2 linked regions of the Notamacropus eugenii genome follow. The protein of the gene in region 1 purifies or fractionates together with the protein of each later gene. This does not show direct contact. Links are inferred from orthologs where the notes say so. Each region holds a gene or a part of one and is shown on either strand. Other genes may lie near its edges.

Region 1 (15,320 bases):
TCATCCTTTCTTTCATTTTTTGTTCATTTTGGGAGGCATTCAGGGTTAAATGACTTGCCCAGGGTCACACAACTACTGTCTGATTTGAACTCAGGTCCTCCTGACTCCAGTACTGGTGTTCTATCCACTATTCCACCTAGGTGCCTCTTCATCTCATTTTTCAACTGAACCTCCTATGATTTGGCCTTTGGACCTCTCCCAGTTAGAGTCACCCTCTTGAGGATATACTTACCCAAATCTTAAAAGTATCACCCACAAATGAACCAGACCCTCTAGGGGGAATCAGACCAGGGTAGGAGATACCACAGTCATCCTATGTTCAATCTAGACTCTTTACTTTTCTTGGTGCTGCATAAAATGACACAGACTTTTCTTGTATGCCCTTTCACATTAGGGGAAGGGAATGAACATTTATGTAGGGTCCACTTATTTGGATCAACAAAGGGGAGGTAGGATGTATTTGTACAAAAATATTTATAGCAGCTTTTTTTGTGGTGCTAAAGAATTGGAAATTGAGGGGATCCCCATCAATTAGGGAATGACTGTACAAGTAATGGTATATGAATGTAATTGAATATTACTGCACTAAAGGAAATGATGCAAAGGATGATTTCAGAAAAACCTGGAAAGACCTACAGGAACTGATGCAAAGTGAAGTGAGTGGAAAAAGGAAAATGTCATACAGAATAGCAGCAATGTTGTTCAATGAAGAACCACAAATGACTGAGTTATTCTCAGCAATACAGTGATCCAAGACAATTCCAAATGACTTGATGAAAAATGCTATCCACCTCCAGAGAAAGAATTGATATAGTGAGAATGCAGACTGAAACATACTATTTTCACTTTATTTTTTTCATATTTTCTTTTCTATCTTTTGGTCTGTGTCTTCTTTCACAAATTGGGCAGCTAGGTGGTGCAGTGGATACAGCACCAGTGCAGGAGTCAGGAGGACCTGAGTTCAAATCTCACCTCAGACACTTGACGCTCACTAGCTGTGTGACCTTGGGCAAGTCACTTAACCCCAATTGCCTCATCCTGGGTCATCTCCAGTCTTCCTGATGAATATCTGGTCACTGGATTCAGATGGCTCTGGAGGAGAAGTGAGGCTGGTGACCTGCACAGCCCTCCCTCACTCAAAACAAAGTCAAGTGCAAGTCATGCCATTATTTCTCTGATGGCATGGTCTTCTTCAGCAACGAAGGACGAACACACACAATATGGAAATATGTTTTGCATGATTGCACATATATAACGTATATCAAATTTCTTGCCATCTCAAGGAAGGAGGAGGTGAAGGAGGGAGAGATAATTTCAAATTCAATTTAAAAAATTTTTTTCCCTACTTAATAGTATTTTATTTTTTTCCAATTACATATAAAGATAGCTTTCAACATTCACTTTTACAAGATTTTGAGTTCCAAAATTTTTTCTCCCTCCCTCTCTCCCCTTCCCTTTCCTCAAGATAGGAAGCAATCTGATATAGGCTATACATGTACAGTCATATTAAACATGCTTCCACATTAGTCATGTTGTAAAAGAAGAATCAGAATAAAAGGGAAAAACCACGACAATGAAAAAAGAGAGAGAAAATCATATGCTTCGATCTGCATTCAGACTCCATAGTTCTTTCTCTAGATGTAGATGAAACTCAAATTATTTTTAAATGAATATTAAAAATTGTCTTTACAGGTAATTAGGAAAAAAATGAAATATTATCAAAACAAATATCTCATTTGAACCTCACAACAATGTAGGAGGTAGGTGTTGTTACCCTCCATTTTATAACTGGGGAAACTGGGGCTGAGAGAAGTTAAGTGACTTGCCTAAGGCCATATAGCTAGTAAATGTTTGAGGGTGGATTTGAACTCAGGTCTTCCTGGCTCCAGGTCCAGTACTCTATACACTACTCTACTTAAGCCATCTAATAAAACCTGAGCTTGTATCTGCAACCCACTAAAATGCCAGGGGAAGGAAAGGGAGACTGAGCCAACAACAGGAGGGGCTGGAGTCTGGCCTTTGCAAAGATCTGGAGAAAGGGTTGGATTGAGTTGGAGGAGTTCAGGCTGCTGCAAGATTAAAGAGGAACCAAAAAGCTTTAAGTCCTGGATCTGGGTTGAGGTTGTCTAAGAACATGGGAATCCTAGGATATGGGAGCAAAATCCAGGGAGCAAATATCTAGGGCTCCACCCTAAGACTAGGTATAAAAGATAGAGCCTGGAACAATGGGGAACATTTATACCTAAAGTTTGTTATTCAGTTCGTGAACCCATTTGGGTCAATTCTGGACAAAGATACTGGAGTGGGTTGTCATTTCCTTCTCCAGCTTATTTTACAGATGAGGAAATTGAGGCAAACAGGGTGATTTACCCAGGGTCACAGAGCAATTAAATATCCAAGGCCAAATTTGAACTCAGGTCTTCCTAACTTCAGGCTCAGCTTTTTATCCTTACAACTGTGCTACCTATCTGCCCCTTTGCACCTGAAAAGCCCCATATTTATGTTCAGTCATGACAAGCTGAATTTTTTAAAAAACTAAACTGAACACCTATAGTTTATGTCCTTGACAGCCACTCAGATTTCATGTAAATTGCTGGAATTTCATAAAAATTCTTTTAAGCACCCTGAGGTTTCTAATGCTTCTGACCTGACCTGCTACTAAGGACCTGAGTGAGTGGAGGAAACTAGGTTCAAGCTCTGATCACAAGGTGGATCCTTGCATGGTGGTGGGACAGAGCTATCTGGGGAAACATCTCAGCAACTGACTAAAAGTTAAGGGCCGTTCTGGAACCATGACCTTGGTGGAACATAGGAAATCACTCATGCCCAAAGCTGACTTGCCTCCGTGTGATGTGTTATGCTGTATGTGAGCATACCCATGTTGCTGCATAATTGTACAATGGAGATAGTGTATATATGTGCTTAGGAGAGAGGTAGACACAGCCCTCAGTCCCAGATCTGCAGCTGACTTGCTTTGGGATCTTAAGTGACTCACCTTTGAGCCTGAATTTCCTTATCTGTGAGATGGTGAAAATATTTGTACTAAGTGCCTCACAGGATGTAGTGAGGATCAAAGTCAATCCATTCCTCAATCAACATTTATTAAGCGCCTACTACATGCCAGGAACTGTACTAAGCACTGAGGATACAGAAGAAGGCAAAAGACAGGAGGAGCTCACAGTCTGAGTGAGAAGGATGAACAACAAGGTGAAAGGTTTTAAAGTTTTGTTGGAGCGTTAGACCTCGCTGTTATTGCCATATGATTCATGATGCATGTACACATGTGGCTGTGGGCATGTATAGGGACATTTGTATGAGTAGTTGGGTGACATCTTTGTGCATGCGGGGGAGGAGGGGAGTGGTGATGCAGATGAGAGCGTATTTCTATGTATAATGTCACACGGCATATTTGACTTCATGCATATCTTTATGTGCATCTGTGTATGCGCAAACATGTTAAGTCTGTGTCTACCTACATATGGGTAGAACTCTGTTAGTGGGGATGAATGTGTAATGTGTTTATTTTCTTAGAATCTTCAAGTTGGGAAAGACCCCAGGACTGTCTAGTTCAACCGATGTCAGAATAGAAATTCCTTGAGTCTATGTAATGTGGTTCCAATTCTATGTGTCTCTGTAGTAGTTTGCATGTATGATGTAGCACATGTGTGCTACATTGTGTAGCACATGTGTGCACATTGTGTAGCACACAATGCTACATGTCTGTGTTTGTATGTGTGTGAGAACCATACATGGAGTCTATGACTACATATAGATGTATGAGTATGTGTAACTAGAGGTATCTGGATTGTGCATGGTTGTTACACATGGGTAATTACGTGTTACGCATATAGCAATTACATATTTGTAAGTCCATGTGCCTGTGCTTGGGAAGGAGAGTGTGTGACTCTGAGGTGTGTGCTCCTTTGTAAAAAGAATGCCCTTAGGTGAGAGCTGCTGGCACTTCGAACCCTTTGCCTTCAGCTGCTTTCATCTTGGAGGGTTCCCAGTCTGATGTTGAGTGTTCTCAGAGAATATACACAGGAAGCAGCTTCAGGTGCAAAGCAAGGCCTCTAGTAGCAGCACATGTGAAGGGGGAGGGAGAAGAGAAGCCCTGCTCTTAGTGGGGGTGGAGATGGGGGGCAGAGTCTTCCCTCTGCATCAGGGTCCTACTCCTGTTCCATCTACCTTCTCTGAGAGCCGTGTTTCATGCTGCTCTAACACCCAGAGACCTGGTTCTCCCACCTTTCCAGGGGACTCAGGCCCAAGGAAGGTACCACCAACCCTAAGGAATGTAGCTGGGATGGTGGACTTCAGTCAGGTAGGGAGGAAAGTCTGTGACCCTGTCCTGCCCTGTCCTGCCCTGTCTTGCCTGAGGTCCCAACAGAACCAAGTTCCACTGCCCCCCAACTTAGTCTCTTCAATACACTGAGGATGACAGTTGGAAGGCTCTTCTCCCCAATCCCTACCCCTATCACTAAAGACTCACCTTGCCCCCTGCCCCATCTGATAGGATTCATAGTACATAGAATGTCAGAACCTAGAACAGAGAAAGCAAAATCTGGAAAGTCCTTAGTACACCCAGACTCCAGGCATTTCTCTGGCTGTCTCCTCATCTCCACCTCCTGGCTTCCTTCAAGTAGTAGATGACATCCTACCTTCTGCAGGAAGCTTTTCCTAATCCTTCTTAATGCCAGGGCTTTCTCTCTGCTAATTATCTCCTCTGTATCCTATATGTAGCCTGTTCGTACAGAGTTATTTGCATCTTGTCTCCCAGAATAAACTATGACTCTCTGAAAGCAGGAATTTTGTTTTTCCTTTCTTTGTTCTTTCTTTGTTTGTTGTTGTTTTGAAAGGCAATCAGGGTTAAGTGACTTGCTCAGGGTCATGCTACTAGTAAGTGTCTGAGGCCAGATGTGAAATCAGGTCCTTCTGACTCCAGGGCCAGCACTCTGATCACTTGGCTGACCCTCTGCTTTCCTTTGTAGCCCCAGCACTTAGCACAGTGCCTGGCACATGGTAGGTACTTAGTAAATGTTTGTTGACTGACTTACTGATGGCTGAGAGGGGCTTTAGAATCCACTGTCTCAGAGACAGAAGAAATCTTAGAACATAGAATATTACAGGACCATCAACTACTAGACTTAGAGTGAGGAGGGAAATTAACGGTGCCCTTGTCCAACTTCCTTATTTTACAGATAAGGAAAATGAGCCCTTAAAAAGGGGAGGGTTTTGCCTAAAGATTCCCAGAAACTAAAGACAGCTGAGCTTGGATTGGGTGCCAGGCCCTGTTCCTCCAAGTCTGCTGCTCTCCCCATCATGGATCCCCAGAGAGGCCCATGTCAAACACACATGAACAGATACATTACTTCAAAAAATTCCGTACAAGGTCATTTTTGCCCCTATCCCCAACTTGGGAGAGGAATACTATTGGCGATAGTAATGGCACCATTAAACTACTGTCCCTTCCATATTTCTGTGGTTTATGAGGCATCATCTCTGTGACTGCTTTCTTATGCCAGCACTCTCATCTCCATTTTATCAGTGAAGAAATTCAGCCTGGCTCCCAGAGGAGCGATGTTTGGATGACTACTAAAGGTCTGAAGCAGAACTCAGACCCAGGTTTCCAGGTCCCCAAGTTATATTATATCTCTGTGGAAATTGTGTTTTGAAGAAAACTCCAGTGGGGGTGGAGAGTAGGCAGGGAGCGCCCCAAGGCAGGTGGCACTTCAGAAGAATGGGTAAGAGAGGGGGCTTCCCCCTGCACCCCAAATTGTTGCCCTCTATCCCCTGAAGTTTCATCTTGCTTCTTCAAGACTTGGAAGGTGTTTGGTTTTTTTCCATCACAACAGCCTTAGGAAAGGGTGGGGGAATTGTTCAAAGATGATCAGAGTAGTCACAGAGGTGAGGCTTAGGAACACAGATCACAGATTAGTTTTTAGTACTGGAAAGAACCCTGAGGTCATTGGGTCTAACCTCCCTCATTTTACAAAAAAGGAAACTGAGCTCCAGAGATGAGGAGTGATTCATCCGAGGCAGTTAGTGGCACATTGGGAATTTGAACTCAGGTCCTCTGACTCCAGATTCATACTCTTTCCTCTATACCACAGACTTGAACCCACGTCTCCTGACCTGTCCAGAGTTCTCTCTTGGTTTGACTTAGGAGACAGATGATGATCATGGGTGTGGGGCCAATGTTCAACTGGTCTAGACAGCAAGCCTCTCTGAAGTTAGGCCTCACCCAGGGGAGAGAGATGATGAAACTCTCAGTAAGGTAGCAGGCTGTGGCTTCTGCTAAGACTGTCCTTGGTGGGGTAAAAAGGTTGAGGAAGGAGGAAGGTTTCGAAAGGCCACTAAGAGAAGGTGATAGAAAATCAAAAGGATTGCACACAGCTTGTAAGGCCCAGATGAGATCAGATAACTTTAAATCTCTGAGGCCCTAGGAGGTTTGGTCCCAAGACTTCCTTAGCCAGCATCCAGTGGAGAAGGAAACTTTCCATAGGAACTCCAGGGTCAAGCTCCCACTGCCAATCATGCCCCTCATCCTTTCCCCACACCAATTTAAAATAGCTTTTCTTCCTTCCTTTCCTCCCTTCCTTTGCCTGGCCCTTTGGGGCCGTCTTTTCATGAAGAATCTCAATCCCACGTCAGAAATCTTCCTTGACATGAGCATCCAGGAAGCTCGGATAAACCTTTCCCTCTCACAGAGAACTCTGGCAGCAAAAGTCACTGGAGTGCCTGGTTCTCTTTCCTACAGAATTCTGACCCCATCAAGTCCTTAAGCTTCCTGATGGAATTTTCCTCCATTCATCCAAATGACCCAAGAAAATAAAGCTCTGGTTTCCTCTTGCCTCCGGGATGATGAATCGAGAACTAAGAGAGCTTAGGGGCCTTCTGACACAAATCCCTCATTTTACAACTAAGGAAACTGGAGCCCAGAAGAGTTAAGAGACAAGGAAATGAATGTCAGAGGCAAAACTTGAATCCAACTTATCTAAATCCTCTCTCCCTTTACCACATTGGGAGAAGTGCATTGGACAAAATGAGGAGGCCTGGGTTGTAACCTCATCTTTGCCACTAATTAGCCATGTGGCAACTCCTTGCTCTTTTCTGGGTCTTAGATTCTACCAAATGAGAATCAGTCTGAACTAGACTAGACGGTCACCAAGTTCTAGGAGCCTACAAATATTCATTAATAAGGCACTTGGGGAATTCCCAAAGGACTCTTCGCATCTAGTCTCACCCGATCCAGACAAGGGGTCATTTTAGGTTCCACCTTATTATCTACTCCCCTCCCAAGACACTAGATACAATAAGAACCTTTCTGGTTCTCTTCCCTCCAGCAGTTGGCTCCTGGTCACTCTTGTGACAACGTCCCTGTTTGGTTTGAACCCAGCTCCTCTGTCTCCAAATCCATCTCCCCTGCTACCCAGTCAATATTCAGGGACTTCCCCAAACCATTCTTTGAGGAGGTAACCTTTGCCCCCAGGGCATCTATGTATGGAGCTGGCATCAGGATGTCCAAGGGTTGCATCACAGTGACTGTGTGACTATTGTTGGAGTGCCCATGGGGTGGTATCAAGGTCAGGGGGGTCCTCAGAGACAAGTTGGGAATCTGTGGGATTAGGGTAGAGTCACTGTGGGGCCTGTCCATAGGGCCAATGCCCGTGTGCCCCATGGCAAAGTGATACTGTGACACCCACAGAGCTTGTCAGGGTGCCCATCAATTAATGTCACAGGTCTTATTAAACTAGCTTTCCTCAATGACCAGATAGACAGAAGTCTGAAATTCTCTTAAGACCTTCTCTGGTCTTTCTTGCCCTCACCTTAGGGGCTGCTGACCTTTCCCTTTGGAAGCTCCCGTAAGCCCCGTGCACTCTTTCCTTACCTGCCTGATATGTTCACTGAGCCTGGTTCACATGGTCCTTCTTGTTCAGAGGCCCCATCACCACCCAGAGGATGGATGAGGCTCCCAGCTCCTTGTCGCTGCCTCAATTTGCCTTCTCAGCACCCAGCCCACGTCCAACCCCAACTTCCTGCCTCCTCTTGAGAGAATGAGTGAGAAAGAAGGCGGCAGCCAACCCCAGAACCCCAGTCAGGCCCTCCCTCAACCACAAGCCAAGAACAACAGTGCCAACCACACCCCTCCCAACATCCAGGGGCCTGATAGTAGGGAGCTGTGGTCACAGAGGGTCCCAGGGAATTCCTAGTATCCGTGGGTGGGGAAAGAGGGGGACACACCATAGAGAGCATTTGATGGTGAAGTAGAAATTGCCCTGGATTCGGAGTCAGAGGACCCAGAATACCTCCCTATCTCTATTACTTGTTAGCTGTGTGACTTTGGGTAAGTCTTGTCCCCTCTCTGGGGCTGTCTTCTATAAAATAAGCTGATTGGATTAGATCAGGGCTTCTTAGCATTTTTTGTGTCATGGACCTCTTTGGAAGACTGATAAAACCTATGGAAATTCTCAGAATTTGCATTTTTAATCATCATTGAAGGAAATGATAAATTCCACTTAGAGGGTAGTAAAAAATAAAGATGGTTCTTTCCCATCCAAGTTCATGTACCCCTTCTTCCCTCCCCCTGGGAAATGTGGTCATGTATCCATCCCATGGTAGTCTGGTGACCACAGGCTAAGATGATTCCTAAGGATCTTTTCAGAATGAAAAGTCTGGGGTTCTGTGAAGAAGACGCCATGGGAGCCCATGGGCTGAAGAGGTGGGGGGTGAGGGAGGACTCACAAAGGGGAGTAATCTCCCCCTCCATCCCCACCCCCTCCTCCACATAGACCAATTTGCCATTGGCTTGATGTGTGATCTTGTCTCAGAGTTTCCTTTTCCATTTTTGCAAGATAAAGGAAATAGAAATCAGAAATTTAGAGACGAAAGATGACATGGGTCATCTAATTCAAACCATTTGTTTTAAAAAGATGAGGAAACGGTCAACAAGTCAGTCAATAAAGATTTATTAAGCACCTACCACGTGCCAGATAGTATGCTAAACCTTGCGGATATAAAAAGAAACAAAAGACAGCACCGCCTCCAGGGAATTTACAATCTAACAGAGCCAGAGGAATTGTCTCAGATTGTCCAAGTAGTCAGTGGCAGAGCGAGGATTTGAACCCAGGTCCTCTGATTCCAAAATCCACATATTTTCCACTGTCTCACCCTACTTCCTTCAGACTAGATGGTCCCTAAGGACCTTTCAACATTTTATTTTGGTGACACCAAGTGGACCCTAGCAATGCTGTGGGAAAGATGTCCATCTAGGTTCACTGCCAACAGAAGATGGGTATCCAAACTCATACACCAGCTCCTTAAGGGGCAGAGATGGACAGTCTGATGACTGTGCCCCAGCTAGACCCAGTGAACCCTGCCATGGTTGAACCAAACTAGAGTGACCCATTCCTGCGACACAAACAGCTCCCACCCCTTCACCTTGAGCCAAGCTGTGAGGAAAGGGGAGGGGGATGGGGACAGCAGAAGAGGATGCCGCAGACGTATTGTTGGGGTTTGAAAGGTGGAAATTGATGCTGGTTCTGCTCACCTCAACTGAGGCGGGTGAGGAGGGCAGGAAATGGGGGAGGGAAAGGAAGCCAAAGACAGAAAGTAAGACAAAGAGATGTGAACAGCAGAAACAAAAGTTACAGAGGGACAGAGAGAGAGAGAGAGAGAGAGAGAGAGAGAAAGAGAGAGAGAGGGAGGGAGGGAGGGAGGGAGAGAGGGAGAGAGGGAAAGAGAGAGGGAGAGGGAGAGGGAGAGGGAGAGGGAGAAAGAGAGGGAGGGAGAGAGAGGGAGAGAGAGAGAGGGAGGGAGGGAGAGAGAGGGGGAAAGAGAGAGAGAGAGGGAGGGAGGGAGGGAGAGAGAGAGAAGGAGGGAGGGAGGGAGAGAGGAAAGGAGGGAGAGAGAGAAGGGAAGGGAAGAAAGAGGAGAAAGAGAAGAGAGAGAAAAGAGAAAGAGGGGGGAAAGAAGAGGTTTAAGAGATAGAAGAGAGAGTGACAGAAAGGAGAGAGAGGAGGAAGAGGAGACAAAAAAGAGAGAGGAGAGAAGGAGAGAAGAGGGAGAGAGAGGGGGAGGGAGGAGAGAGACAGAGACAGAGACAGAAAGAGAGACAGAGATGGAAATACACTGAGAAACAGAGACCAAGAAACAGACAGCCACACACACACAGGAAAAAAAGCCAAAAACCAGATGACAGGAGAAAGAACAGACACAGAGCTAAATGAAAGAGAAGAGTTGAGGACTTCTGGGTCAGAGACATGTTTTCCTCCCTCAAAAACATGCACACCTGGTGTCCTCGATCTTTCCTGCAGTGACATGGAGCACTAGATCACACCAGGGAGTCTGTTTGCTGGAAAGCCTGAGAAAGTGTGAGTGTTCCTACTACAAGCCCTGAGAGCACTCCTTTATCTAGGTCAGGGATGGGGAACCTGAGGACTTGAGGTTACATGTGGCCCTCTAGGTCCTTAGGTGCGGCCCTTTGACTGAGTCCAAGTTTTACCAAACAAATCTTTTTATTAAGGGGATTTGTCCTGTGAAGTTTGGATTCAGTTAAAGGGCCACACCTAAGGACCTAGAGGCAGGTTCCCCACTCCTGATCTAGGTAGCTGGAGAGCTGACTCTGGGAAGGCTGAACAGCTCTCTCCCTCTCTATAGGCAGTGAGTTATGGTCCCTCTGTGCCCTGGGTGACTGCATCCCTCAGATCAGGGGTAGCAGAGCACCAAGGTTTAGGGTGGGACACCCCTGTGGGAGAGCAAAGGATGCTCAGCTGTGTGCAGCAGGGCCTGCCTGCTCAGCAGAGGGTGAACCGACGAGCACTGATGTTCATCCGGGTGAGGCCGATGTCCCTGAGTGGGGGCGCCAGGAGGCGAGTGGGCCGGAGAGAGCCTGGGCTCAGGAGCTCCGCTGCCTCTCCAAAGCCTAGACACTCAGCTTCTGCCTCCAGTTCAGCATCATCCAACAGCTCCTGGTGCTGCCTGCAGATCTGTTCCACCTTTAGCTGGTGCATTCGGGACCTGAGGCGCAACAGCTGCCCTGCCAGCTCCCGGTCCTGGGCTCGCATCTGCCTCTGGGGGGAAATGATTGAGGCTGGGGATTCAGGGCCCTGGCTTCCTGCCCTTTATTTTGGGCTGTGGGCAGAGGTGTCTCTATCCTGTGCCTAGGCAACTTGAAACGCCAACATTCTATGACCCTGATCCTCTCAGTCCAGCTCAGCCCTTCCTGGCTCCTCCTTCCTCTCAAGCCCAGCACTACCCTCTCCTCTCCTCTTCCTCCTCTTCCAGGAAAGATAATAATAACTCCTATCCTATGGCCTTGGAGGATTTATAAAGTACTTCCTCTCCACCGTCAGGGGAGGGGAGTGGTTGGGACTGGGACCCAAGTCTTCCAACTAACAGAGCTATTTCCCAGCCTCTTGAATAGACTCAGGGACTCATCTCTGTCTGTCAACAAAGATTTATCAAGCATCTACTATGTACAAGGAATCAGCCTAGGGGAAGGGGAGCCCCACTCTTTTATTGAATATTGCATGACTGAGGACAAGGCCTTCTCTCTCCTTACCTCCACTGCACCCCAGACTTCAGCCTCCCCTAAGTCCATAGGGAACTTTGGATCATAGACCAAGAGAGGGAAGAGATACTTAGAGATCATCCAGTCCCTCACTTGACAGGTAAGGAAACTGAGGCCCAGGGTGGTGAAATGATTTGCCCAAGGTTCCACAGTCAGGGGAAGAGATTTGAATGAGGTCTCTAGCTCAGAAGACAATATTTTTCACATACATTGCCCCATGCTACCTGTCCCAAAAGGGCGTCTGCCCCCAAATCCTGAAATTGTAAGGGCAAGGTTACATTCTCCTCCTCAGCTGGGGCTTCCCTTTGTGTGTCTCTCCCTTAGATGGGGGCTCCCTGACAGTGAACTACTCTTCTCTATCCCACACCGTAGACTTACCAGCTCCTCTCTTAGCCACTGCAAGGCGTCATCCAGAGTGTGAAAACCACAAATGGCTCCAGATTCTGGTTCCCGCAGTTCAGCCCTGGCCTGATCTCGGTGCCAGGCTTGGCTTTGGACCCTGGCTGTCCACTCGAGGTATGAGGGCCTTCTGGTCTGTAGATTTAATTTGGCAGTGAGTGCCTTCAAGTTGTCCAGGGTCTCCTCCTCCTCACCCAGGGCCCCAAATGCCAGGGACCCCAGAGACATGGTGATGGCTGTTCTGGTGGGACCAGAGAGGTGTGATGTGTTTGTCTGTCCCTCTTTTGAGGGGGACAGATGGTTAAGTATCCCAAAGTAGGAGGTAAGTGTGTAAGGTTGAGTGTGTGGCTTATTTCCCTGGAATCCTGTAATAATGGGAACTCACGTGACCCCCAGAGGAAAGGGATGGGGCGTTGGGGGAGGGGAAGCAGGATCTCAGTTTCTCTGGCCTCAGGGTCAAATTTAATTGTCTCTGCCCAAAAGGAGACACCCTTCTCTCTGAAAGGAAACTTCTACAGGGCCAGGGAGCCACTGGGGACATTGGCTTTGCCCTTTGGCATCTATCTACTTCTCTTCCCACCTCTCCCAACCAAATTGAGCGGGTGCCACTGAGGGAGACATCTCTAAAACTCAACTTGATGCTAGGGCAGAGTGTGGAGTCCCAAGCTAAATCAGGGGGCAGAATGAGGAGTCCCAGCCTGGAGGGTGGCAGAATGTTGGATCCCAATGAGGGAGTAGAGAGTGTGGGATACCTGGCTGGGGGTCACAGAGATAGTAGCCCAGATTTGATGGAGGTAGAATGTGAGTTCCTAGTCTAGAGAAGGACAGAAGGCTGTGAAGGCTATGGGGTCCAAGCTGGGAGGGAGGAAATAAATGTATGGGGTCCATCATGGAGGGAGGCAGTGGGAGATGCTAGCTGGGTTGGAATACTCAGAGTAGGTATCTAAGATGTAATTCTGGGAGGAGATAGGCATTGAACCTTGGCAAGCTCTTGGAGAGGTATCGAAATGGGCTCCCCTGTGGTACCCTAAGCACCAAGGACCAGGACCCTCAAGTGAAGAGCCAACTGCCTCCAGGGGGCGCTCCTGAACCGATGACCACCAGAGAAGCTGATGGATACAGTAGTCATTTAAGGTGGCCTTGAGGGCACCCAACAGAGAGGACTAAATTTAAGTCTTGGGAAGGACCTTAGAGACCAGCTTGAGGAGCAGAGAGAGGAGGGGACTTGCCTGAGAACCTAGGACCAGCTAGTGATAAAACAAACAAACTGGATGTGCCCACTGATTGGGGGATGATTGAACAAATTGTGGTATATGAATGTAACAGAACATCATCTCCCTGTAAGAAACAAGGAATAGGAAATAAAAGAAACATGAGAAGGCATGTATGAACGGATACAAAGGGAAGTTAAGTAAAGCTGGAGAAAGATCATATACACTGACTCTGAATGTAAAGGAAAAGACCCCTTAGAAAGGGTTATGTGAAGGAAAGGGGAAATACATTTCTCCCTCTCCTCCCTTTCCTTGGAAAGATGGGCAAAATAAACACTGTTTGTCACGGTAAAGAATATGATTTTGGCTTAACTGCATTTCTTCGTTATAAGGGAAGGTACACTGAGGGTGGAGGGAGAGGCATGTATCTGGAAATGATTGTGATGTAAGCACAAGAAATACCAAAAATGCATTAATTTAAAAATTAGTGGCAGGACTTCTGACCCAGGCTTCTGATTACAAGGCCAGAGGACTGATGTAACTAGGGAATGGAGGAGAATGAATTACAGTTCCCTGGCAGATTATTTCACAGAGCAAGGCCGAGGTGAGATCTCTGTTTGAGAGTGGATAGGATGGGTGCATTGGGTTCGAGAACATCTGAATTCCCAATGAGGCTCCAAGCTCGAATTGTCCTCGCCCTCCACCAAGAGGACAGTGGCGAACCTGAGCACCTCAAGCCCCCTAGATCTCAAAAAATCTTGAATCCTTCTCTCATGGGGCCACCTTAACCAGCCTCATCTTGCAAATTTCATCCGTTCTGGGGACAGTTCCTGTTCCCCCCCCATCCGTCCGGATCCTCTGGTTCCCGCCCCGGTCCTCCCACTGGGTGGAGAGGACTGCCTGTGCCCTGGGGCTATAAAGCCTTGGGGCTCCGCCCTTCTCTTTTGCGACCCCCTGCACCCACAGAACCCCCGAGCCCTGGGCTTCCAGGATGGAGTTCTCGGAGCTGATCCGTACTGGTCGGGCGGAGGCGCTCCTTCTGTCCAGTCCTGGGCAGACGCCGGTGCGGGGCACCCTGTGTATCACCAGCCACCACCTGCTGCTGTCTGCCGGGCACGGAAGCCCTAGCGACCTGTGGCTGCTGCTGCGCAACGTGGATGCTGTGGAAAAGCGGTGAGAGGGATTCGAGACCGTGCAGCTTCCTAGCTGGGCGCAGGGGAGAGGAGAGGGCTACCAGGATCAAGAGAGGGGGGTGCGGAGTGGAGGGGACGCGCGTGTGTGTCTGTGTGTCTGTGTGTGTATGTGTGTGTGTGTCTGTGTGTGTCTGTGTGTCTGTGTGTGTGTGCGCGCGCGCCTCCTGAGGGAGGAGAGGCTAGCCTCACTGAGGCGTATCCCCGGAAGATCGCGAACTGCTTAGCTGGGACTTACGTGGGCCCGACCAGCCGCTAGCCAGCCAGAGAGCCGACGTGTTCAATGTTGGCTGGGAAGGCACACATGGCTCGCCAGGTCTCAGTTCTCCATCCAAGGAGAGCTGAACTCTTGGCCATACTCTTATGCGTCTTTCCTCTCTTCCACTGATCTCTCATGTCTCCTTTTCCCCTTCTCCCCTCACTAACCCACCGATTCCTGTGTCCCTTCAATGAACCCTGCAGTGTCTCCTTCCTCAAAAGACCTCTAAGATCTCTTTCCCCACTGACTCCTGCGTACCCCTCCCTTACTGATTCCGCTTGTCCTACTTGTCCAGTGTTCAATACTGCCCTCCGTGTCTTGACACTCTTGCTCCCATACTAGCTCCCCCACCTCGTGATCCTCCATTGACCCCAGAGTCCTATACTAAGCCGTTCATAAGTGTTCATTTAGCCCACTGACTCCTGCCCCCCCCCCCTCCGCAGGGTGGCAGGAAACTCGGGCACCATCACCCTGAAATGTAAGGACCTGAACGTTCTGCAGCTGGAGATCGAAGGCTTGGAACAGACTCTGGACATCGCCGGCTCCATCGAGGTGAGGTAGCGCTTGCAGGAATTCGGGCAGCAAATCCATCCCGGGCACTGCCCAAGTGGAGGGAGGAGGGCTGAGAATGGCAAGAATGAGAACGTCAGCAAGGGCAAAAACAGGTTTTGCATGTCGAGCCTGGGATCCCCAGA
Region 2 (15,686 bases), on another chromosome or scaffold:
ATTTTGTATTTGATCCTAGAAATGATAGGAAGCCATTGAAATTTATTGAATGGGGGTGGAGGGGTGACATGATCTCATTTGATCATAGAGTGTTAGGATTGGAAAGGACCCTAGAAACCATCTAGTCTGATCTCATTTTATTAATAATAGCTCATATATATTATTTGTAGTAATAGTGGGTTCATAATGCTGCCAGGACACCTGGATTCTCAAGTATGAAAGTCAGGGAATCAGAAGCTCAGGGCTTGGAACAAAAGGGGAGAACTCGGGATCACTGCTATTCTCTCTCTGAGTCCTTCCTTTCCAGTCCTTCTTTCTCTCCCCAGCTCTATAAAATCACGCGTGGCCCTCCTACTCAGAGGAATTCCTTTCTCTCCCTGGGCTTTAGTCCCCTCATTAGTAAAATGAAGATGTTGGACTAGATCTCTGAGAGCCTAAGTTCAAATTTCACCTCTGGCACTTAACTGGTCTTGGGACTATGGACAAGTTATCCAATTTCCCTACATCTAGGGCAACTCTCTAAAAATTATAGATGAATTTCAACCTATGTTGTGTAGAGAGAATACCACCCCCACCCCCCACCCCACCCCATCCCCCCCTACCCACCCACTGGAAATCACAGATCTTTAATCTCATAGTAATGAGCCTTTTTCAGTTTTGGAGAAAGTGCTTTGTCAGCCTTAAGGTACCACAGAAATAGGAATTATTATTCATCAAAAGCATGAAATGCTCTCCCCCATCTCTTCCTCTGGGCTTCCGTGGTTTCCTTCAAGAGATCCAGGTAAAACCTCATCTTGTACAGAAAGCCCCTCCAAATCCTCTTATTTTGAGAGCCTTCCCTCTTTTGATTATTTCCTATTTACCCTGTCCATAGCTTGTTCAATATAGTTATTTGCTTGTCATCTCCTCCATTAGATTATGAGCTTCTTGTGGACGTTTTTCCTTTTTTTTTTTTTGTGGTAACTCTAGTGCTTAGCACAATGCCTGACCCATAGCAGGTGTTTAATAAATGTTTACTGACTCACTGAAATGATGAGGTTAAAACAGATGCCCTCTCAGTCTCTTCCAGTCCCAATATCTATGATTCTGTGTGGTTGCATGTAGAAAGCATATGTATATGTGTAGAAGAGAGCAAATGTAGGACAATATGTTCTTGTAGCTTGTGAATAGAAAAAAAATCTATGCCAGCATTTGCCAAGTCTGTTTGGACAAAGAAGACATTGACACTTCATGTACATTGCTATTTTCCATAAATGGAGGTACCCTTTGGAATCTCACTGCTTATTGAGGAGGGGCACAGTTATGTGTGATAAGTATTGGGGGTGTGTAATGGCTAGAATCAGGAAGACCTGGGCTCACATTCTGCTTCTGGCATATATTCGCTCTGTGACCATGGTCACCTCCCCAATCTCTGTACCTTAGTCTACCCAGTCTAAAGACCATGCACAGAGAATTGCCAATGTGCATCACTGGAGAGAATTTCTAAGTAAATAACTGGAATAAATAAAATCATTAACTTTTTTTTAAAAGCGCACGCACACACACACAGAGTAATATTCAGGACTCTTTCCAAATGAGCATAGCTCTCTGCCCCAAAGCTTTGTGGGGGATGTAGTCCAGAAATCTATGCTCCCCAGGGGCCCCTTATAAATGATTTTATATTCAATTTTGCTGAGTCTTGGAGGTCAGCTAGTCCAACCCATGCCTGCAAGAATGCCCCCTCAGCATCCTAGACAAGTGATCTTCCAGTCTTTTCTTGAAGAGGAAAATAAAGCTAGCAGTAAAATATTCTTGCAGTGTATGAATTCTCATGGAATGATACAATCTCATTTTAGGGAACACATTTTGGGAAATGAAGATCCCAGAGGACAGTGTATTCAAGGCTGCCTTTGCATCCCCATGTGCTCATGTATAGGTCTGCATGCAGAGAGGAATAATACATAAGACAGCATAACGTAAGATCTCTTTGTACTTATCTCCCTCTTCATCCTCCCAAGAAGTGACAGCAAGACATATATGGCCAATGTGGGCATTTGTTTTGCTTAACTATGAATATTTTAGGGTGGGAAATTATTTTTATTTTTTTCAACTAACATGCATTTAAAATTAACTCTCTATTCCACTGTTCCTTTCCACCCATTGAGGACATTTTAAAATACATAATAAAGTTCTCAGTATGTAGTTGCATAGTCTGGCAAAACATATTCCCACATTAGAAATGTCCAAAAATGTGTGCTTCATCATCAGCTCCCCATATTACCACATCAGTGATGAGTGGCATATTTCATCCTCCTTCTTTTGAACTCATGACTTATTGCATTGGGTCAGAGTTTTAGAGTCTTTCAAAGCTGTTTTTCTCTAGAATGTTGTTACAATTCTATAAGTTGTTCTAGTTCATTCTTCACTCTGAATCATTTCATAGAGGTTTGCCCAAGTTCCTCTGAAATTATCGGTTTCATTATTTTTTTATGGCACAATAATATTCCATTATGTCCATATACTACAATTTGTTTAGTCATTCCTCAATAAGAGAACACTCCCTTAGTTTCCACTTTCTGGCTACCACTAAAAGATAAATATAGACAAATAGACAGACAGACAGACAGACAGACAGATAGATAGATCCTTTTCCTCTTTCTTTGCTTTTTTTGGATTACAGACCCACTAGTGATATTACACCTATTCATATCTAATACTAGGGCTTGGTTTTTTTTTCCTTTGGGCAGGGAGGATGGTGGTGAGGATGAGGGGAAGGGGGAAAAGTAGATTTTTGTTCATTGAAAAAATTAGATTTAATTTTTTTTATTTCACCCTCCTAATTCTTTGTGGTTGAAGTAGGAGTTTCCCTTGTCCCTAATGTTATTGACTACTAACTTCAACACATGAAGGAAGAAAGAGAATATATAGGGAAGAAAAGAGAGGAGGAGGGGTGGAGGAAGAGCAGAGAGGGGGACAAGATTCTCTTTCTAGTCAGGTCTCTATCATAAGCTTACTTTCAAAGGTCTCAATGGGGAATTTGTGTGTTCGTCCTTCATTGCCGAAGAAGACTATGCCATCAGAGATATGAAGACATGACTTGCACTTAACTTTGTTTTGAGTGAGGGAGGGCTGTGCAGGTCACCAGCCTCACTTCTCTGAATCCAGTGACCAGATATTCATCAGGATGACTGGAGATGACTGAGGATAAGACAATTGAGGTTAAGCGACTTGCCCAAGGTCACACAGCTAGTGAGTATCAAGTGTCTGAGGTGAGATTTGAACTCAGGTCCTCCTGACTCCTGCACTGGTGCTCTATCTACTGCACCACCTAGCTATCCATGGGGAATTTAGTCACAGAAGGAAAAGGTAAATGGAAATTATAGTCTTTCAGGATTGGAAAGGTCCCTAGAGACCAACCACCCCATTTGGGTTAAATTACTTAGTCAAAATCACAATGCTAGCAACTGGGGGTGCCATGACTTAAACTCACATCCCTTGATCCCCACCTCATCGTCATACAGATTCAGAGGGTTCCTGTGTTGTTTAGGGTCTGAGAGACTGCAAAAGTTGTTTCCACAGTGAGTTGTTAATTGAAGTCATTGAGAACGTTAGATAATAAGAAGGCCAGCAAACTGCAGGTGGACTCAACCAATCAAAAGACAGACAGTGGACTTCAGAAAATTACAAAGTTTTTGATAAAGGAAACAAATCTACAGCTAGCTGGCACTAGTCAAGAAAAATTATCTAGAGTTACCTGGAGAAGGCTTTTCTTCACTGTGCTTGCTTAATGAACTTCATGCATATAAGCAGACACACCCTGCATAAAACTGTCCTTCCATTTTCTGATCATGGGTCCTATGTTACAGCATGTTTGGCAGGGGGAATCATACTAAGGGGAATTACATAATGGGCATGTAGAGAAGATGGTGACCTAATGGAGGATGGACCAATCCATCTCCTGGTGGGAGGCTCTGTTTTGGAGTAACAGTATATAGCTCTTCTGGCTTCTGTATCCAGTACTCCCTCCACCTGAAAAGAGGGTAGGGGCACGCTTTGGCCAAAGTTCAATTCCTCTGAATTCTGCTGCAATAAATTTTCCTTGATTCCTTATTGAAATCAAGCATGTTTCTAACAAGAGTTAGCCTAGAGAATGGTAGGAAGAGATGTCTCTTTCAGGAAAGGGCTTCAGGTCCTTTGAGGAAAAGGGGAACTTTCAAGCCTCCTCTCTGAATGTCTCACCTTCTCACTATGAAAACTACAAAGTGAGGGAGGAAAATCAAAATGATATGCAAGATTTGGGATGAGGAAGGAGAATGTCACTAAGGGAAGGACAATAGGAGAAAAAGATCTTTGTCTCTTCATCTATAAAGGGACTAGATGAGCTCTTAAGTTTCTTTCTCGCTCTAAAAACCTATGAGTAAGGCTTCTTCACGATGCAGTGAGTTTCAAGCAAAAGGCTGAACTTTAAAGCACTTGAAAAGGCATGTAGTAGAGGTAGTCAGGTGGTATGCCAGAAATGCTTAATTTAATGACTTCTATTTGTGTTTTTTTAATGAGGGGTAAACAGCAGACTCTTGGTTTACTCTGACTAGCAAAACTATAGCCAGAATCATCTGATGACCCAGAAGCTTCCAGTCTCTCTAATTTACAAAATTGCTTCCAAGGCTGGAAGCAGCCATCTCAAGGTTGCTACTCAGTTACCTGTACTCAGGAAAGAAACAAAACTGAAGATGAAGGATCAGACTCACCTAGTCATGATAAGTGCCCTCTGCCATGTGTTTGCAAGAAACCATGGATGGGAGGAGGGTGGCTTCTCCCTTGCCACTCCAGGGAGAGATTCCTTTCTGACAATCAGCAGAAGGAAGGGAGAGAGTGGAGTTACTCCCTTCAAGATCTATTGAGGAGGCCAATCTTAGTGGCTTACTGGCTGGTGCTCTGACACAATTCAGATAATCTTCCATGCTTTCATATGCATGGGATCAAGGGACCACCCAGGATTTTCTGTGTCATTCCAAAGTGATAAGCACTTCAGTTCTGAGCCACATATTTCCCTGCTGAAGTGGCCACAGTACAGGTGCAGTACTCCATAAAGTGTACGTTAGCCAGAGCAAATCAAAGTGCCCAGTTGCTTACCCTCAATTACACTTGCTTCTCTCTTTTCACTGAATAGGAATGCCCATTACTGATGGTTCATGTATCAAATCTTGATTGAAGTACCAGAGAATATACTTGAATGGAAGTTTAAATACCTGCTGATACAAAGCCTCAAACAGGGAAACAGCAGGAAAGGGATGTCCCCGAGTCATGTGGTAGCCTGCTCATAAACATTGTCTCCAGCCCAGCCAGACAGCTCTGCTCAGGTTATTCAAGTTTCCCTCTCCTACCCCATTCCCCTAGCTCTAGTTCTTAACAAAGACCTTGGAGCCTTGCCTTAGATCCACCTCTGATAGGTCTCTCTCTACCTGATGATCTCATGTATTCCATTGTATCTTCAAGCTTTTCATTTCCAGTTTGTGACTTCAGATCCTGGGGTCCTATGAACCCCTGACTGTTCCCTCTGAATGCCATTTTCTTCCAGAAATTTCCATCCATTTCATCCCCTCTGGTTCCTTCTCCCATCCCTCCCACAAGCAAAGCTATTTGGTTTCTACTCCTCCTTTGTGGAGGCAATCAAATTGTGCAGTGAATAGTGCTGGACTTGAAGTAAGACCCAAGTTCAAATTTGACTTCAAACACCTGCTGTGTGACCCTGGACAAGTCTCTTAACTTCTACCAGTCAGCCTTAATTTCCTCATCTCTAAAATGGGGAATAATAATAAAAACCACTTCACAGGGCTATTGAGAAGATCAAATGAGATAACATATGTAAACATTTGCAAACCTTAAAACACCATATAAATGCTAGCCATTATAATTATGGAGGTGAGGGATGGCAGCAGGGTAGGGAACATGGTCCCTCTTCTACCTGATGCTCAAGCTTCTTTCTCTTATGTCTCACTCCCCACCCAACCTCCAAGTGGAAAAAGAAGGAGCCTACTCTGAGGATCTCACGTTTATTTTACATTGTAGGATTTAGAAAGCACTCTCCTCGTGTAACTCATGCCAGAATGCCCCATGGAATGGTCCTTTATTTGTCTTGGACTATCATTTGTTTCAGGGCTGTAGTAATGAAGGTTTGGGGACACATAAAGGAGAAGAGTGCAACATTTCTGGTGATTACCACATTTTCTTTATTCCTCCTTTCATAGGAGACTGCTAGCTTGTTCTTCCCAGGAGCCAGAAAATTTATGATCATGACAAGCAGAAGGTCATGCAAGAGGACAGGGAAGTGATAAAACCAATATGTTGCAAACTGAATGCCCTCTCTTCCTTCCCTTTCCCTATCCTAGCCCTGTTTGTCCTGAAGATTTGGGGAAGAGGAGTTTCCTTCTTGCCATTCTTGGGAAATGGAGGTATGTGACTGCTGCCAGGCTGGCTGGCACCAATTGACTTTGGGGAATCCAGACTGTTGGACCAGGGCAGGTGCTGAGGCTGTAGCCCAAAAGAGACTTCCATTCTACTTGTTCTTCTTGAGTGCCAGAGGGAAAAAGCCTGACTAGCTGCTGAGAATCCAACAGAGAGTGGAGATGCAAGCTTCCAGATGAGAATGAGGAAGAGGACCTTCTAGATTCTAAATTCCAGAGTGCCAGGGAAAGCCAGCTATTACAGAGCATGGAAGAGTGACCAGCAAGGATCAGGGAGATTAAACTTCCTAGATTGTACCACCTTTGACTTTCTATTTAAACACACAGCTCCTTCCCCTCGAAAGCATGGAAGGACCATTGGGAAAAGGTTTCAGTTTGGGAGGTGGTTGGGCAAAGCTTTCCATGAGAGAGGAATTCTGGACAGTTTCTATGCAGTCTTACTTAATGTTTAACAAACCACGTGGCTGCATTAAGTTGTCTTGCTTAAGCTGTAAGAGTGCAGTGGCTAGTCAACCAAGAACAGAATATTTCCCAGATACATGGTGAGGGTGCAGCAAGATATATACATTTCCATATTTTAACAATCTTGAGCCATATTTCATTAATATTATGCCCAGGTTACTTTGAATTGTGACCATTTAGGAATTTCTTCTTGTCCAGTTATTTGAAATAGTACGGATAACTGGGGGTAGTGCATACGCAGACTTTGGGCTCTTTAAAGACACAGACTCTTTAGTATAGCGCCACCTGCTGATTGGAAATTGTAAGGTATACTCCATTAGTAAACGATAGTGACCCATACCCAGCCTTTCTGTAGACATTTCGTTGTCGTTTTTTGTCCTTCGTTCTTGAGGAGTCTTAATTTGTGTGTGAATTAGATTTAAGTGAGGCAGACCTGCACAAAGTCATCGGCCTCATTCTCTCCTCGAGTCATCAAAGTCCAGTGGCAAGACAAAAGTCATGACAGGATGCAGTGGGTGACCACATGCAGTGTACCACAGCTGTGGACCTCCCACCAATGTAAAGGAACGGAGTGGGGCTGTCTTCTCATATCTCTTCTTTGGGGCTATAGTCATTAATGCTGTAATTCCCCAACATTTACTTTTGTTTTATGTATTTGTTCTTTATTGGGTCTATAGTTTCCTTGAATTTACTCTTTATTTGATCATGTAAATCTTTCCATCATTTCTGTATTCATTATATTCATTGTTATAGAACAGTAATATTCCATTACATTCGTGTGTCACTATTTGTTTAGGCATTCACTTTGTTTCCAGTTCTTTATCATTTCTATAGTCTTTCTGGTCTCCCAATTGTTTGTTTCTCCTTCAATTTTAAATATCTCCTCTTTTATGCTTATCTTAGTTTTGCTTATTATTTGTTGGCTTTCTAATTTTTAGAAAATACCCATTTAGTTCCTTAATCCTCTCCTTTTCTATTTTTTAATGTATGTTTCTATAGCAAGAGAGACACTCTATTAGTAAATGGTAAAGTGATAGACACTCTTTCTTTCTGTAAGCCTGATAAAGGCAGGACATGAGTCAGGTATGAATTCCCACTACTGCTGCAGTCCCTCAAGTCTCACTTGAGACCCCTCCCAAGGACATAGACCATGTCATTGTCACATAGTAGTCCTCCAGAGCAGGAGCATAGTTATTATTGACTTAGAAATGGAAGGTAACTTTCTGAATGCGCATATAGTCCACACTTCTCTTTTTACAAATGAAAAACTTCAAGCCAGAGAGCTAAGTGACTTACTCATATGGATGTCATGTAGCATAGCCAAGTTTTCTTACTTAAAATGATGTTCTTCCTACAACACCAGACCTCATTTATTATGAGGAAACAGGCTCAGAAGTCAAGGGGAAAGCTCCAGTTGACACACCTAGTAAATTTAGGGGGGTTGAACCCAGGTTTTCTGACTTCTGGTCCAAGGAGGTAAGAGTTTAGAGGAGAATTAGATCAGAACAGACTTTACCATCTTGATCCAACATCTGGCTTCCAGTACCTGGAGTCAGTATTCCAGTATTCCAGTCCCCCAGGGCCCCATGCATTCACCCCTGGTTTCGCCACTGTCTAAAGCCTATCCTACACCTTCCTGCTACACCATTGCCTCTCCTCCTTTTCCACATATCCTTAATGGGTCTGGAATGATCCTGAGTGTTGACCCCCAAAGATCCCTTCCAAGGATTTGAAAGCACTTTACAGACCTGATCTCATCGATCTTAGTCATATCCTGTCCTGAGTGAACAATAGGATTGAGAAGACAATAGGGGAACAAACCTTCGATGAGGTGGTAAGAGTAAAGAAGAAAAGAGAGCCTTCCACATTGTGAGGGATGGTGGTCTGACAATAGGGAGGATTTCTCAAGAACTAAAAGAGAAACATTCCCTGCCCCACCCCTCTCCTCCCACGCTTCTACCCCTCACCAACACACACACACACACACACACACACACACACACACACACACTTCCGGGGAGGAACATTGCTTTCCATGACGTGGGTCCCAGGGCCTGGGCTGTGGGTGAGGTACCATTTCCTGCCCCTGGGAGGGGGGTAGGGGAAGCAGAGGAGCTGAGAAGCACACACAGCCATACACCTGTTCTGGGTGGGGGGGAGGGGGCTCAGTCTCACAAAACCCCTTTCATGGAGATGCCCATAGATCAGATGCCTCCTCAAGGTAAGTGCCAGGTTTTTCCCTGCCTATCACCCTTCCTCTTTCCTCTTCATCCTCTGACTTCATCTACAACAGCCCGGTGACCTCTCTGGATGGCGGGTTAAAGGGTCCCCTTTCTCTGAACAGGAATCAGAAAGGAAATTGTGTGGGCTGGGTGGCAGAATATGTTCCCTTAGGAGTCCTCTTTCTCTCTTTCTGGTCTTCCATTGTTCTTTCCATTTCTATTCTTCAACAGAGGAATAATTAGATTTCTAAAGTCCTTTGAAATCTTTAGAGTAGAGAAGAGAGATTTGGTAGGAAACATAAAGACTCCTGGGAAATCAGGATTTAGAGTTGGAAAGAATGTTAGGGGTCAATTAGTATAAACCTTAAAATGAGGACTATATATTGGGAAGCCAAGGATATGCTAGTAGATATTTAATAATCAACTTTCGGGGGGAGACGCGCATAGGGTGGGGGAAAGAAATGTAGGAAAGATACACTTTTAAGTTTAATCTGCCTTATTGTCATCTTTTTCCATTACTTAAGCCTAGATAATCAACAAAGCATCAAACCCTAATTTGTAGCACTTGCAGATTTCCTGTGTGTAAATGCTCGAACTTAAAATTTAACAATCAGTGTTTGGAGAGCCCTTGTGAGCTGGTTCCAGCAGACCCTGGAAGTCACTTCCCTGTGGTCACACAGATTAAGTACGGAGCTGGGTTATAAATCATAAGCAGGGAATTGGACAAAAGGTTGAGGATAGAGGACAGAGACAAAGTGTTCTGAAATTGTCAGACATGTAAGAATGATCCATAAGAAGTGGATTAGAACTCAGGTGTCCTGCTTCTCAGAGAGTTGAATCCCAGAACCCTCAAGTTGACAGAATCCATTACAGAAAAGTCATGATGCTTTTCCCACTGTATTTCACCAAACCAGACTAAAAGGATACCTGTATTCCAGCTTATCCCTGCCTTTTCTCCTCAAACTCTCCTAATCATTCAGAACTCTTCCTTGCTGCTTAATCATCCCTCTTCAAACATCAACTCCCTCTCATACTATACCTTCTGTACCTTATCCCTCATTTTCTCATTCCCCTGGGAAGTACTTCCTGCTAGCATCATTTCTTCCCCTGCTCCCCATCAATATCCTCCATCATTCTTTTTGCAATATCAGTCTATTTCTGTTCTCAAAGAAATGCTGTGGCCTCTCTCCATCCCTGGGTGATTTGAGGAGAGGGGCTAGAGGCAATAGGAAAGTAAAATAGGATTACTGTTACATCCTATCCCCTTGGAAGAGAGCCCACAGCTCTGTTTGTACATGTAGGGGAATGGAAAGAACCTGCCCCAACTTTCAGTACTTTCCACCCAAAACATCCAACCCGGAAGAGCAGAAGAAGCATGGTACTGCCTACACTGCCTCAGGCATCGGAAGATGAGAGTGTCCCACCCAATCACACCAAGGTGAGTGGAGAGAGAAAAACTAGGAACCTCTGAGTCTGCATCCTTCACCTCACACACACACATACACCCAACCCTGTGGATACCAGGCCTATAAAGGAGCTTTATTTAATGAGACTTCCTAGAGGAAATGGATTTAAGAGGGTGAAAAGGAAAGCAGGAAAAGTGGGCACCTGAACTGATACTAAGAGAGCCAAAGAAGCAAGTCAGTTAGCCCCTTTCATCATCACTGTCCCTCTGTAACTCTTAATTATAGTTTCACAGGATTCAGAGTTGGAAAGGACCTTAGAGATCATCTGGTGTGATGTCTTCAGCTTACTGAGGCAGAGACTGAGTTCAGAGAGATTTTCATTGACCCAAGATCATGAAGGTAGTGAAAGAGACAAGATCCAGACCCAGGTCTTCCTGCTGTAATTCTGTGGTCTTTCTTCAACACCATACCATCTGGACTGAGCTTCCTACCCAGCTCCCATAATCCTTCCCTAGTCCAGTCTGATCCGCCATGATTTTTATGATGCTTCCAGAGATGATTCTCTTTCCTGCCATCTAACCTCAATCCCTTCCACTATATTAGTAGAACCTTTCTTTCTCTGACCTTTGGGGAAATGGAAACCCGTAGCATCCCCTTACTTGTCATCTCCTTTATTCCCTTGGTATATGGGTTAACCCAACTCTAAAAAGTCTTCTCGTTCTCTAACCTCCACCCTCGCCAAGACTGCAGAGCCATGTAGCTCAGAGGAAGATGGAAGGTGAAGCTGATCAGTTTCTAGGAAAGCTATATCAGAAGTGATTTCAATTTAGAAAGTGGTTAGCAGGGGAAAGTGTAACATAGGACCAGAATGTGCTCTACAGATGGGATACAAGCCCCTCTGGCTGTAGCATTTGCTCACAATCCAAATTTTCTTCCATCCAGGTTTCTCTCCAAGGCCAGGGGACTATCCCTATTCCAGGCAACACAAGGAAAGCTGAGGAAGTACCTGGGCTAGGGGGACCATCCCTTCAGGCTGAGACCAGGGCCTGGTTTCAGAAGACCCAGGCACCCTGGTTCTTTCATGATGGGGAAGCCCCAGTCTGGTTCCATGGTTTTATCACTCGTCGGTGAGGAGGATCAGATGGATAAAATTCAGTCTAGATCTCAGTTTCCCTTTTCTCAGCCATCCCCCTGTCCTCAAGATTTCACACTGTGTAACCATTTTCTCTCTGGGTCTCCATCCCTTTGCCAATGTACCTGTGTCATCCTCTATGTCCATTTCTTTAGTTTATTTCTGTATCTTTCCTTGTCTTTAATTCTCTGTTATATCTTTGTCACTCTTTTCTACATCTTATCTGTATTTCCCTCTTTCTCTTTTTCTACTTTTTTCTCTCTGAGTACATCCCTCCAATGTGACAGACCTAATTTGCTTTTTAGCCAAACCACCCTCTAAAATCCCAGCCCTCAATCCCCTTCCTGTCTCTCTTAGCTGTTTCGAGGAAGAAAAGTTCAGTTCTTTCTTCCCTAGTATGTCCTCCTCCCCATACACTAGCCCAAATAATTACCCCTTTACCTTGGGAAGGACCCACCATCCTGACCCCTCCAGGAACTTAGCAAGCGAGTCATTTATTCATTTTTTCCACTCATTCAACTAACGCCCCCTTTCTTCCTACTCCCCGGGGTTTCCTGCCATTTCAGCATCTTGCTAAGGAGGGGAACTGCATCCTGCCTCCTACCTCCTGCACCACCAATTGGAGGATGGTGTAGAGAGGAGAAGGAGACCATAAATCTAGTGGGACCACCACCGTGGGGGTAGGTGGGGGGGTCCAGGCATTCGAGAACCCGACCGTGTTTCCTTCCTTCAAACTCTCAGGGAGGCCGAGAGATTGCTGGAAAACAAACCCCCAGGCTGCTACTTGGTGCGGTTTAGCGAGAGCGCAGTGGCCTTTGTGCTGACTTACAGGTGAGGCTCAGGGTTTTGTTTTGGGTTTTTTGCAGATGAGCGAAGAGATCTAGGTTTCGTGTGAATGGGTGGGTTCATGCAGATTGTCCAGTGAGGGTGGGGCTTCATGCTGATTGACAGATGAATGAGTTGCTCTGGGGACAAGGGGAAAACAATTTCCTTGAGGCAGTAAGTCTGGAAAAAGGCGAAATGATGAAGGAAGAAGGAGAAAGGAGGAGAACAGAGAGAGGGCAGAGTGAAGCGGGAGGCCGGCAGGGAGCTGGGCTGGGCTGAAGGCTGAAGTGGTGGGGTGGCGGGACCTGACCCCATGTCTCTGCCCGGCTCTCTCCCGCAGGAGCCGCAGCTGCTACCGCCATTTCCTGCTGGCCCAACTGGAAGATGGGCGCCATGTGGTTCTAGGCGAGGACAGTGCCCACGAGCGGCTCCCAGACCTGCTGCGACACTATACTCAGCGTCCGCTCAGCCCCTACGGCGAGCACCTCACACAGCCCTGTATCCGCCAGGTACCTTCCCAACCCAGGCCAGACTGGGGATCGGCACCCGGCACCCGGCACCTGGGCTTTCTTAAGCAGAAAGGTTCACCTTTGGGGTGCCTCACTAGACTTTGAGACCCAACACACAGGCAGCAGATGATATAGAAGATGGAAACCCGAGCCCGGAGTTAGGAAAACCTGAGTTCTAATGTGACCTCAGCACTTGTTAGCTGCGTGACCCTGGGCAAGTCACTCAGGTAAAATGGGAATAAGAAGAGCCCCTTTCTTTCCAGGATGTTGTGAGGATCAAAAGATATCATTTGTAAAAAGCATTTAGCCTCATTCCTGGAACATGGTAGGGGCTATATAAATGCTTAGTTCTTCCTAATAATAAGAGAAGATCTTATTGTAGATCTTTATATCTACATGTAGATTTTTATGGTTTGCAAAGCACTTTACATATATCGAGTTTCATCTTCATAAAAACTTCAGGAGGTAGACACCATTTTTATCTTCATTATGGGAGCAGCTAGGTGGTGCAGTGGATAGAGCACCAGTGCAGAAGTCAGGACGACCTGAGTTCAAATTTCACCTCAGACACTTGACACTCATGTGACCTTGGGCAAGTCACTTAACCCCAATCTCCAGTCAATCCTGATGAATATCCGGTCACTGGATTCAGATGGCTCTGGAGGAGAAGTGAGGCTGGTGACCTGCACAGCCTTCCCTCACTCAAAACAAAGTCAAGTGCAAGTCACGTCATCATTTCTCTGATGGCATGGTCTTCTTTGACAAGGAAGAATGAACATATGTCTTCATTATGAGATGAGGAATCTGAAGAAGGTTAAGTAGCGTGGCAGATATCCCACAGCTAGTGAGTATTTGAGGCTGAATTTGAACTTGGCCTTTCCTAGCTCTAAGTCTACCCTCTTTACCAGTTAGCTGTTTTTAGAATATTTGAGCTGGTAGGGACTTCAAGAACAGCTCAGGCCACACCAGTCCTCTGCTCAACAGCTGTATTGTCTGGGTTATTAAACTGCTCAAATTTCAGGAAAGCATGGAGAGGCACAATCTATTATAGCACAGTTGAGGGGATTTGGAATTGGTTGGATGACCCAACAAAGGAGACATTACTGGGGTTACAGGAGGCAATTTGACGACCCAGTGGGTTGTGCTGGCTTGGAGTTAAGAGATTTGGGCAGGAAATGATGGGACAAGACTGCAGTCTTCAAGTATCTGAAGAGCTGTCTTAACAAAGAGTGAGGAGGCTTGTTCTGCTTGGTCCCAGAGCGCAGAGCCTGGAATAATGGGTGGAAATTGCTGAGGCAGATTTAAATTTGATGCAAGGAAAACTTCCTAACCATTAGAGGTGTTCAAAAATGGAATGGGCTGCCTCAGGACATCATCAATTTTCCATCACTGAATATCTTCTTCTAGAAGCTGGATGACCACTTGTCAGGGAGGCTGTAGAAGAGACCCTGGGTGACCTCTGAAGTCCCTCCCAAGCCTGGAGAGATTTCATGACTCTTTTATCCAGTCCCCTCATTTAATGGACCAAGAAACTGAGGCCCAGAGAGAGATGATGGGGCTCATTCAAGATCACACAACAAGTTTAGTGGGCACAGCTCGGACTAGAGCCACAGTCTGAATCCAGTGCTGTTACTGCATAGTTGTCTGTACTCTGGGAGCAGACTGTAATAATAATTGATAATAACAATGCCTAGCATTTATATAGTACTATAAGATTTGCAAAGCTCTTTACAGGTATTCTTTCATTTTTTATCCTCACAGCAGCCCTGGGAGGTGCTATTATTATCTACATTTTTATAGATGAGGAGACTGAGGCAGAGAGGCAAAGTGACTTACCTAGGGTTACACATCTAGGTCACTGAATTTCACATGGTCTGAGGTAGAGACACTGGAGAGCAGAGTTGAGGTCCTGGGGGAACAGAACTGGAGATATTTCTTCTAGTTTGGGCTAAGGAGTTTCGGATTCATTCTGACCAAAAGTGAAGGTGAAAGAATAGAGGCCATTGTTTTGGATAGTTCTCCCTGGTTACTGGGGCTGAGTCTCCTTGTTAGGATATCAAAACCAGATAGCAATAAAAATTTATTTTAAAAGAGAGCGAAATTGAAGAGGGAAAAAGAGGGAAGGATGAAGAAAGATCCAGAGAGAGAGACTGGAGAGACAGAAAGATGAGACTAGAGAGACACACGGAGAGAAAGAGACAGAGAGAGCAAAAAGATGAAAGAGAGCCAGAGAGGAGAAAGAGAGACTGCAGAGAGTATTGAGAAGCAAGGAGCTGAAGCTGCTTGAATCACTAGAAAGGAATTGTGAGAGAAGACTTGCTTATCATCCTCACAAACATGAAAGGACTCATGGAAAAAGATTCTAGATAGTTCTTTGGCTTTTCAGAGGACGGAGCAATAGGAGTGAGCTGCTGTACACAGGGAAACGTCTTGCTGTCAGTCATTTAAAAAAAAACAGAATTAGGTGGCCATGAGAAGATGTTGGAGTGTCTATATCTGGAGAGCTTCCAAAGGAGAGTAAATATTCATCTGCTCTGGGTGGTGGAGTGGGAGGCTGCGGAGGCTTTGTTCTAGTAAGGATCACCACTCCACTGGGGGGAAGAATCAATCAAAGATGATACAAGTTAAAAGCAATTTGACTTCGGGTGTTTTTTAAGAGGAAAATAAGATGTTTCATTTGTCTTTCT

Evidence for each region.
Region 2: the proteins of LCK (region 1) and SH2D2A purify together in Homo sapiens (co-immunoprecipitation; 3 studies listed by IntAct, with this or other methods). This does not show direct contact. The link is inferred for Notamacropus eugenii from reciprocal best matches to the Homo sapiens genes LCK and SH2D2A.

Annotation. Positions count from the first base shown.
Region 1 is NC_092876.1:77,607,815-77,623,134, forward strand, and holds the start of LCK (tyrosine-protein kinase Lck), read right to left. Parts: upstream 8,041-15,320; 5' UTR 7,886-8,040; intron 1-7,885. Other genes in the region: protein FAM167B, read right to left, coding at 10,791-11,066, 11,945-12,193; myotubularin-related protein 9-like, read left to right, coding at 14,168-14,349, 15,069-15,177. UniProt on the Homo sapiens protein: Non-receptor tyrosine-protein kinase that plays an essential role in the selection and maturation of developing T-cells in the thymus and in the function of mature T-cells. Plays a key role in T-cell antigen receptor (TCR)-linked signal transduction pathways.
Region 2 is NC_092873.1:381,047,332-381,063,017, reverse strand, and holds the start of SH2D2A (SH2 domain-containing protein 2A), read left to right. Parts: upstream 1-9,027; 5' UTR 9,028-9,092; coding exon 9,093-9,126; intron 9,127-10,428; coding exon 10,429-10,565; intron 10,566-11,475; coding exon 11,476-11,660; intron 11,661-12,406; coding exon 12,407-12,496; intron 12,497-12,830; coding exon 12,831-12,999; intron 13,000-15,686. UniProt on the Homo sapiens protein: Could be a T-cell-specific adapter protein involved in the control of T-cell activation. May play a role in the CD4-p56-LCK-dependent signal transduction pathway. Could also play an important role in normal and pathological angiogenesis.